2 linked regions of the Canis lupus familiaris genome follow. The protein of the gene in region 1 interacts with the protein of each later gene in a pairwise test. Links are inferred from orthologs where the notes say so. Each region holds a gene or a part of one and is shown in the gene's direction. Other genes may lie near its edges. The genes, in order: CBX5 and PRR14.

Region 1 (3,906 bases):
CCCCAGTCCCGTTAACCGCCGTCGGAGCGGCGGAAGCCACCTCGCTCCCGGGCCCTCCGTCTCCGGCACGTCTTACCACACAGTCCGTAAGCGTCCCCCATTGCTCAAAATGGCTCCTCAGACTCTCATCGGTCGTTTCGAAGCTCAAACCTCCGATGAAGAGTTTCCGCAGCTGCTCGGGCTCTTTGGGAGACTAGGAGCGGGGACACAGCTCGTTACGTGGCGCGCCCAACGCCCAGCCCCGTCCCGTTGGGAGGAAAATCCTAGACAGCAGCGTTACAAGGCACGTATTGTTCCCTCGGGTTACGGGAGGCCACGTGCTTCTCCCCTCGGGGGGGACCGAGCGGTGGGGGCTGGGAGGCCGCGGGCGCATGCGCCCCGACTCTCCCTCCGACGCACGCGCAACAAAAGGACTCGGCTGGACGGACGCCGAAGCGGCGGGGAACTACGGCTGCTCCGCAAGAAACTCGCTCCCGGAGACACGATCAAACAAAACCCGTCGAATGCGCCCGCGAGTTCTGCCGGGAGGGCGCAGCCCGGCGCCACAGCCAAGCGCTGCAGGACGGCGGCCTCATGGCGACGACGAGGACAAAATGGCGACCTCAACTTCGGGAGGGGAAGGCCCTGGCGGCCCCCGAAGGGCTGCCGAACGGGCTGGCGCGAGCGGCCACGCCAGGCCGCGTCCTACCGGCCCCAGGGAAGGAGTGAGGAAGGAAACTAGGCGGGAGACAGCGTGTTACTCACCTCTGACTTAGACATGACGGCGGTGGGAGGGGAGACTTTAACGATGCTTACTCGGCGGCGTCCAGGGGCAGAAAGGAGTAATCTAACGAACGTATCTGCCAGCCTACCTTCGGCCTCGCTTTTTTATCCCGCCTCCTCGCTTTAGGCATTGGTAGACTCCGCCCCTGAGCGTCTCTGATTGGATGTTTGCGATAGCCTCCCCCTGCTATTGGTCTATAGCCCCGCACTGCTGCGCAACGTCATCCGCTTGGGCGTTCTACGCAGGCTCCGCCCCTTCAGGTCTATTGGTTCCCGGGTAATATTATTCCTAATTACTGTGATTGGCTCGTCAACCAGTCATTCATATTTGAACGAACCTAAGGTATTTAAATGAATTTTCAATCCATTCCGCCCCGAAATTATGTTCCGCTCAGTTGGCGAAGCACGGTAAATGCTAATATATTACGAACGAGGTTATCAGGTGATTTTTTTTTCTTTTTTTTTTTTTTTGCAAACGACCGCCCGCCGGGCGCATGTGTAGTAAAATGGCGAGTTTACGCAGGCGCACTAACCAGTTCCGCTCGGCGCTTGGAGCACGTGAAATGGCGGGCGGGAGACGGCGGCGACTCTACGGCGCCTGCGTCGTGGCGGGAGTCGCGCCCCGCTCTGCGCAGGCGTAATGGGCGGAGAAAGGGTCCGGTCGCAGGATTGGCCGCGCAGGCGCAGGGAAGGATCCGTTTTGGCGGGCGGTTGGCGTTGCGCAGAAGGCGGCGGCGGCGGCGTCCCGTGGTCCGGCCTCGCCACAGAGGAACAGGGGAGGCGTTGGCGCGAGTGGCCGGTCTCGATTCCGGGTAAGCGGCGGATCGTCTCGCCTACTCATACGAGGTGTTGAACTGACTCCAATTGGGCCCGTTATTGTGTGAAATGAATGGAGCGCGGGGTGGGGGCTCGTAAAGGGGGAGCGCTGGGTTCAGCCAACCAATGGACGGCGGGGGCGGGATGTCTGCCGGCCGGGAGTGCCGTGGGGCTCCGCGGCCCGGAGTCTGACTGGCTTGCGCGCGGGCCAATCGGGTCCGCCTTTGCCGCCGACGGACGGGCCCTCGGGCCCTCGGGACGTGGGGGCGGGCCCTGCGCCCTGAGCAGCGTCCCGCCGAGCCAATGGGCGCCGAGCGCGCCGTAGGTTGGGCTCCTCGGAGGCGGCGGGCGGACTCCGAGGGGGAGGCCCCGCTGTGGAGCCGGCGGCGGGCGGCCTGCGGACGGCGCCCGGGCGGGTCGCCCAGTCAGCGGTGCGGAAGCGGGAGGCCTCGCTGCGGGCTGTGGAGGAGCGGGCGGGAGGGCGCGGGGGCGCGGGGGCGCGCGTTCTCTCCACAGTGGCCGCCGGCGCCCGGCGCTCGGGCCTTCACCCCACACGCGTTTCCGGTAGGGAGACCCTGACTCTGTGGCGTGTCGCTTCGGCTTCGGCATAACCGCTCCACGCGCTCGCGCACGCGCACGCGCACACGCACCCCGGGGCTTCTGGTCGCCCCGCGCGTGGAGGCTCCCAGGGGAGCTCGGCCGGTCGTCGGGAACCCGCTTGGCCGGCAGCGTCCGCGCGCATCGGAACAAGAGCCGCTGCCGTCGCGGACAGGCGCCGACCCACGTGTGCGCGGAACGCCGCGGCCTTCCCCGGACCGGTGGCGGATGCTCGTGAGCCCGCAGGAGAAGTGTGGGAAGGGCCGCCTCCCGCCGTGCGTCCGTGTCCAGGGCCCGGGTGGGATCCGGGCAGGTGGCGTCCCTCCCGCTCAAGTCCTTTCAGGGATCGCAGTTTGTGACTCGGTGAAGATGGGAAAGGCAGCCCTCGTGTTTCCAGGCACGATCCCCTGCTCCTCCCCTCCCCCTGTGTCATCCCTACACCACGAGAGAGTGCTGTCCTCCCCCCCCCCCCCCCGCCCCCCCGCGCGCCGGCGGAACTAACACGGTGATGCTCAGAATAAAAACACAATTTTAAAAACTTGACTTTCTTTTGTGTACTTAGTACCTGCCAGGGAGACGCTGTGCTAAGTAAGTAAACCCTTTACACGCATCATCTGTGTTTCCACGCCTTTACCTCAGTCTTTTTTTTTTTTTTTTTTACCTCAGTCTCTTCTGTGAACTTTTGTATCTTTCTTTACACCATTAAAAGGTTTCTTTCCTTTTTTTTTTTTTTTCTTTTTTAAAGATTTTATTTATTCTTGAAACACACAGAGGCAGAGACACAGGCAGAGGGAGAAGCAGACCTCCCACAGGGATCCGGATGCGGGACTGGATCCCAGGACCCCGGGGTCCCGCCCTGAGCCCAAGGCAGACGCTCCACCACTGAGCCACCCAGGCGTCCCATCCATTAAAAAGTTTCCGAGACTCTTTCTGCTATTCCTCTAAGGATGTCTGAATTTTGACAAATTGCTTAACATGGATGATATTTAGGGTGTTAGGGGTAGGAGGACTCCTCCATCACCTGGATTATTCCATTGCCTTCATTGTATTTTCTTCAAAGTGTTTATTTTACAGGCACTGTAATCACCTGTTGGTAACACCCATTCAGCTGATTTGAAGATGTTTTAGTAAAAATAAAGACGTTTTCGTTACATAATGGTTATATCAGAATCTAAATTGCCCTCTTGATCAATGGCATAAGGTTATTAGAAAGATGTTTAGATGCTGTAATACGTTTAACTGTGTATGAAGGACACTTCTGATTATAGACCTTTGTGACATTATACAAAGGAAAGTTAATTTTAGTTGTCCATATAATGAAGACTGGAGAGATTTGTGTTTTCTGACACTTGCAAGAGGACAACTTGATTTCGTATTTCCTTATAAACTGTAGGTGTGCTAATCAGCTGCTTCTGCTGAGTTTATAAGAACTAAAGGGATCTAAATTACAGTTCTCCCTAATTTATTTAGGTTCAAAAGAAATAGTCTTGACTTACGGGATTTCTTACAGCACTATTGACATTTTAAGCTAATAAATGCATTTCACCTCCTCCCTCACACCCATTTGTGACTATCAAAATGTCACCACACATTGCCAGATGTCCTGGGGATGTCAGTGGTAGTGATGGTGGCGGTGGTGGTGCAAAATCTTCCTCGGTTGAAAACTGTTGATTTAGGGGTGCCTGGCAGGCTGGGTCTGAGGAATGTGACTCTTGGTCTCAGGGTGGTGAC
Region 2 (3,906 bases), on another chromosome or scaffold:
CACCCCACCTTAGGGTCTTAGGGCTACGCCTTCCCTACTAGATTCTCAGGCCCAGGCCCTGGCCCTTTGCTTAGGCTACATCCTTTGTCCTTGGTATTGACTTCTTCAGGAGACCCAGGGAATCAAAACTCTGATTAGGCATGTTCTGCTCTTGGGAGCTTTTCTTGCCCTGTGAGGCTTGAGAGGCACCTGTTCAAACAGGAAAGTGAGGGCAGCCCTGGTGGTCCAGCAGTTTAGTGCTGCCTTCAGCCCAGGGTGTGATCCTGTAGACCTGGAATCGAGTCCCACATCGGGCTCCCTGCATGGAGCCGGCTTCTCCCTCTGCCTGTCTCTGCCTCTCTGTGTGTGTGTGTCTGTCATGAATAAATGAATAAAATCTTAAAAAAAAAAAAAAAACCAACAACAGGGAAGTGAGAGCCTACAGAGGGGCTCTCAGCTTATCAAGATTGAGAAGGTTCTCCAAGCACTCACAGCTGGATGCATCTCTGTACCCCTAAGGAACATCTTCAAGCCCCATAAAGCCAGCAGGAATCCAAGGGAGAGAGGACACTTCTAGCTGGAAGAGCTGCCACCTACTCTCATCAGAAGTCTTATCATGGATTTCCAGAGGACCCAGCAGGCCTTAGGAAGAGAGTTGGCTGTAATCCTGAGAGAGCTATCTGGATGAATCCTTGCTTCAGAGTTGGGGAGTCTTCATTTTCCACACCACCTTGCTGATTCTTTTTCTTTCTTTTTTTAAAGAAAGAGAGACACACACAGAGAGGCAGAGACACAGCAGAGGGAGATGCAAGCTCCATGCAGGAAGTCGGATGCGGGACTCCATCCGCGAACCCCAGAATAACGCCATAGGCCGAATGCAGGCGCCAAACCACTGAGCCACCCAGGGATTCTGGGTGAGCCACCCCTGATTCTGCTCTTTCTATATCATCCTCTCTGTGTCATTTTTATCACTAAGTCCCAGAAGAGAGAATTATACTGGCTGGGTACTCGGCACCCTCATCCCACAGACCCAGGATTCTAGGCTTCAGGCTTTCCTGTTCCACCAAGAAAGTAAGTACAGGGAATTCTGGGATAGGAGAATTCTGGGTATTAGTGGAAGCACAGCCTCTGGTTCGGCGGTGAAGGTGCCTTCACCGTGCAAGAAGCTACTACATCCCCACTTCCTCGCCACCAGTAGTCTGGCTCCAGGTAAAGGTTGCATGATACAGCCTCTCAAGCAGCTCGATTCCATCCCCGATCCCTTACTACTAAGGACTAGTAGTAGTAGTAGTACTGTTACTAAGGACTATTTCCCTTGACACTGGCTTCGTGGGAACCTGGAACAGAGAGGAAGGCGCTGGACACCACCGAGCACGCCAAGGTGGTTATTGATCCCCTGCGATGTCGCCCCTATACTGAGCCCTCGGCGCGGGCCGCACAAACCCCCACACCTCCGGGAAGGTCAATGTCCCCAGCCTCTTCCCAATTTCGGCTCCGCTCAGTCTCTTCGGTACATCGCTCAAACCCTGGAGCCGGAGGCGGCACTATCCCTAGTCTCAGGTTCTTAGTCCCTCCCCCCACATCTCAGCGCCTTGGGGGGACTCGAGGATTCCCGGAGGGTAGCAGAATCGCTCTCAGTGAGGCCTCTCTAGGAAATTGGGAATTTCACATGTCGTTAGTATTCAGCTCACGTTTATTAACCTAAGAACCAAAGAACCGGAAGATGCCCTTAAAAAACGTGGCGGCACTCTATTCACTACAGCTGCCTCAGTAGCTCAAGAAACTTGGTCTAGTCTTCGGCCACTGACTGGCCTTCAGAAAATGACACCATCCGGTCCACTTCGGTTCATCGAGGACAGAGCTACCTGCCCTCAGCTATAATGGCAGCGCTGCCCAATTTGGCTTCTTGCCCCTAGGGAAGATGGCTGCCAGGTGGCTTCACTTAGTTTCTCACCACTCCGGAAGACGGGGACCGGCGATTGGGCGGTGCCCGAGGGCTGCGAGAAGAAGGCCCTCGGCGGTTGGGCAGTGCTGGCTAAGGCTGGTTTTAAAGGAGCCGGAGGTGGGAGCCGTCGAAGACCCGGGATCCGCGGGAGGCGGCGGTGAGCGGCGCGCGGAGGAGGGCACCGAGCGGCTGGAGAGAGGGCGGGAGGAGGGAGGGAAGGAAACATTTGAACCATCTGGTCCTGGGCTGGGGAGAGCGCTGGGTGGGGAGCCGGGGAGGGGGGAAGGAGAGGGTCTGTGGGCGGGACCTCCCCGGATTGGAGTGAAGGGGGTATCTGCTTGACAGTGGATCCCTGGGGATCCGGACCGAGTTCGTGATGCTCAGGCTCGGGCTGCCCCTGTCTGAGTGGAGCTTTGCGGAGCCCAAACTCACAGGGAGAGGAAGATCCTCGCGGCGTCTGATTGGAGCAACCGGGCTGTAGGATTCTTTCCGCAGGGATCCAGTCTAAGGGATCCGTGGGGCGGGGGGCACCGTCAGTGTGTGGGAGTATTGCTTCGGAGTTCTTGGCCACTCGCTGGCCGTGGATGAGGATTGCAGAGGGACCCGGCGGAAAGTGAGCCTCTCAGGACCGGGATCCCAGCTGATCCTGGGGGATCTCAGGGCGGATTCTGCGGGGACAAAGGCCCCAGAAGCTCGGGCCGTGGGAGAACCGGGGCCACTGCAAGCCAGGTTCTCCTGGCAAGTGCCAGTCCGGGTGCGCGGGTGATCCACTAATCTCGGGCGACGGCAGCGGGAAGACACCCGCTCCAGGCGGCCAGCCGGGGGCGCCCTTTCACTCCCTAGGGCTCTGGCCCATGGGCTACCCGGAGCGGCGGGCTGACCATTGAAGGGCGGAGCCCCTGGGGAGGGACTGGCCCTCACTCCCCGCTCCCCCGCTCCCCCTCCCCATCCCAGGCTGCAGCCTGGGATCCCCCAGGGACTCCCCGGAGCCGCCGCTTTCCCCATGGACTTGCCCGGGGACTCGAGGTGAGAGCGCACCCCGCCCGCCTGTCTTGAGCACGGGAAACGGGGAGCCTGGCGGCCGTACCGGGGAAACCACAGAGCCAACGACAGTCTCAGGCGACCGTCCTCTGCTTCTCTCATCCTCCAGCCCACCTGGCCGGCCACGTCTGTGCCGCCAGCCCCTGGCTCGAGTACTATGGGGAGCCAGGAGCCCCAAACGGCCGAGACTGCAGTCTCTGGCGGCCCCTTCACCTTTGGAAAAGGCCTCTCGGAGGGTCCTGGCTGTGGTGCTGGAAGATGTTATGACTGCCCACATGGTGAGCCCCTTGAACTGAGAGGCCTCCTTCCTCCCTCTGGTCCCCTCTTCAGTATCAAAGTCAGACCAGATCACTAATGAGGATAGTTGAGATCCAGATACCTCATTCTCACACCCATTGCTCAGGCAGCCTCCCTAATGCTAGAGTTCTATTTGGCTCTTGCTGAATCTACCTATATTTGGACAGGGTCTCTAGTGCCCATTCCCCGCCATCAACCGTGTTGGGCATAGAACCACATGGCTACAACTCTCTAAGTATGAGAAACCCTTGCTTTCTTCCCCAGCCCAACTTCCAAGCTATTCTTGGGAAGCAGGCTGAGGTCTTTAGCTCCATTGCACAGGTTAGGAAAACAGGCCCAAAATAGGGCAGTGACTCACCTAAGGTCACTCCTTTTCATTTCTCCAAACAGCCTGGGTGAGATTACTGCAGCTCAGGACACTATAATATCTGGCCCTGGAACTGATTCCGTTCAACTCATTTCTTTGGGTTCTTAAGTGAATTCTAGCCACAATCTCTATCACTTTTGTGGCATACGGCACTGTTAGGTTCAGTGAGGTCCTGTCCTGTCCCATCTCATTTCATCACCTTGCTCTTGACACTTCCTTCTCAATTAGGTTCCCCTGGTGCCCCAAGAAGAGACTACCACCCTACGGCACCGCAGCA

Evidence for each region.
Region 2: the proteins of CBX5 (region 1) and PRR14 interact in binary tests that used the Homo sapiens proteins (3 or more experiments, as listed by UniProt). The two-hybrid records come from large-scale screens. The link is inferred for Canis lupus familiaris from reciprocal best matches to the Homo sapiens genes CBX5 and PRR14.

Annotation. Positions count from the first base shown.
Region 1 is NC_049248.1:45,636,252-45,640,157, reverse strand, and holds the start of CBX5 (chromobox protein homolog 5), read left to right. Parts: upstream 1-1,414; 5' UTR 1,415-1,574; intron 1,575-3,906. Other genes in the region: HNRNPA1 (heterogeneous nuclear ribonucleoprotein A1), read right to left, coding at 77-193, 745-759. UniProt on the Homo sapiens protein: Component of heterochromatin that recognizes and binds histone H3 tails methylated at 'Lys-9' (H3K9me), leading to epigenetic repression. In contrast, it is excluded from chromatin when 'Tyr-41' of histone H3 is phosphorylated (H3Y41ph).
Region 2 is NC_049227.1:17,677,550-17,681,455, reverse strand, and holds the start of PRR14 (proline-rich protein 14), read left to right. Parts: upstream 1-1,187; 5' UTR 1,188-1,360; intron 1,361-1,895; 5' UTR 1,896-2,081; intron 2,082-2,878; 5' UTR 2,879-2,927; coding exon 2,928-2,950; intron 2,951-3,074; coding exon 3,075-3,243; intron 3,244-3,857; coding exon 3,858-3,906. UniProt on the Homo sapiens protein: Functions in tethering peripheral heterochromatin to the nuclear lamina during interphase, possibly through the interaction with heterochromatin protein CBX5/HP1 alpha. Might play a role in reattaching heterochromatin to the nuclear lamina at mitotic exit.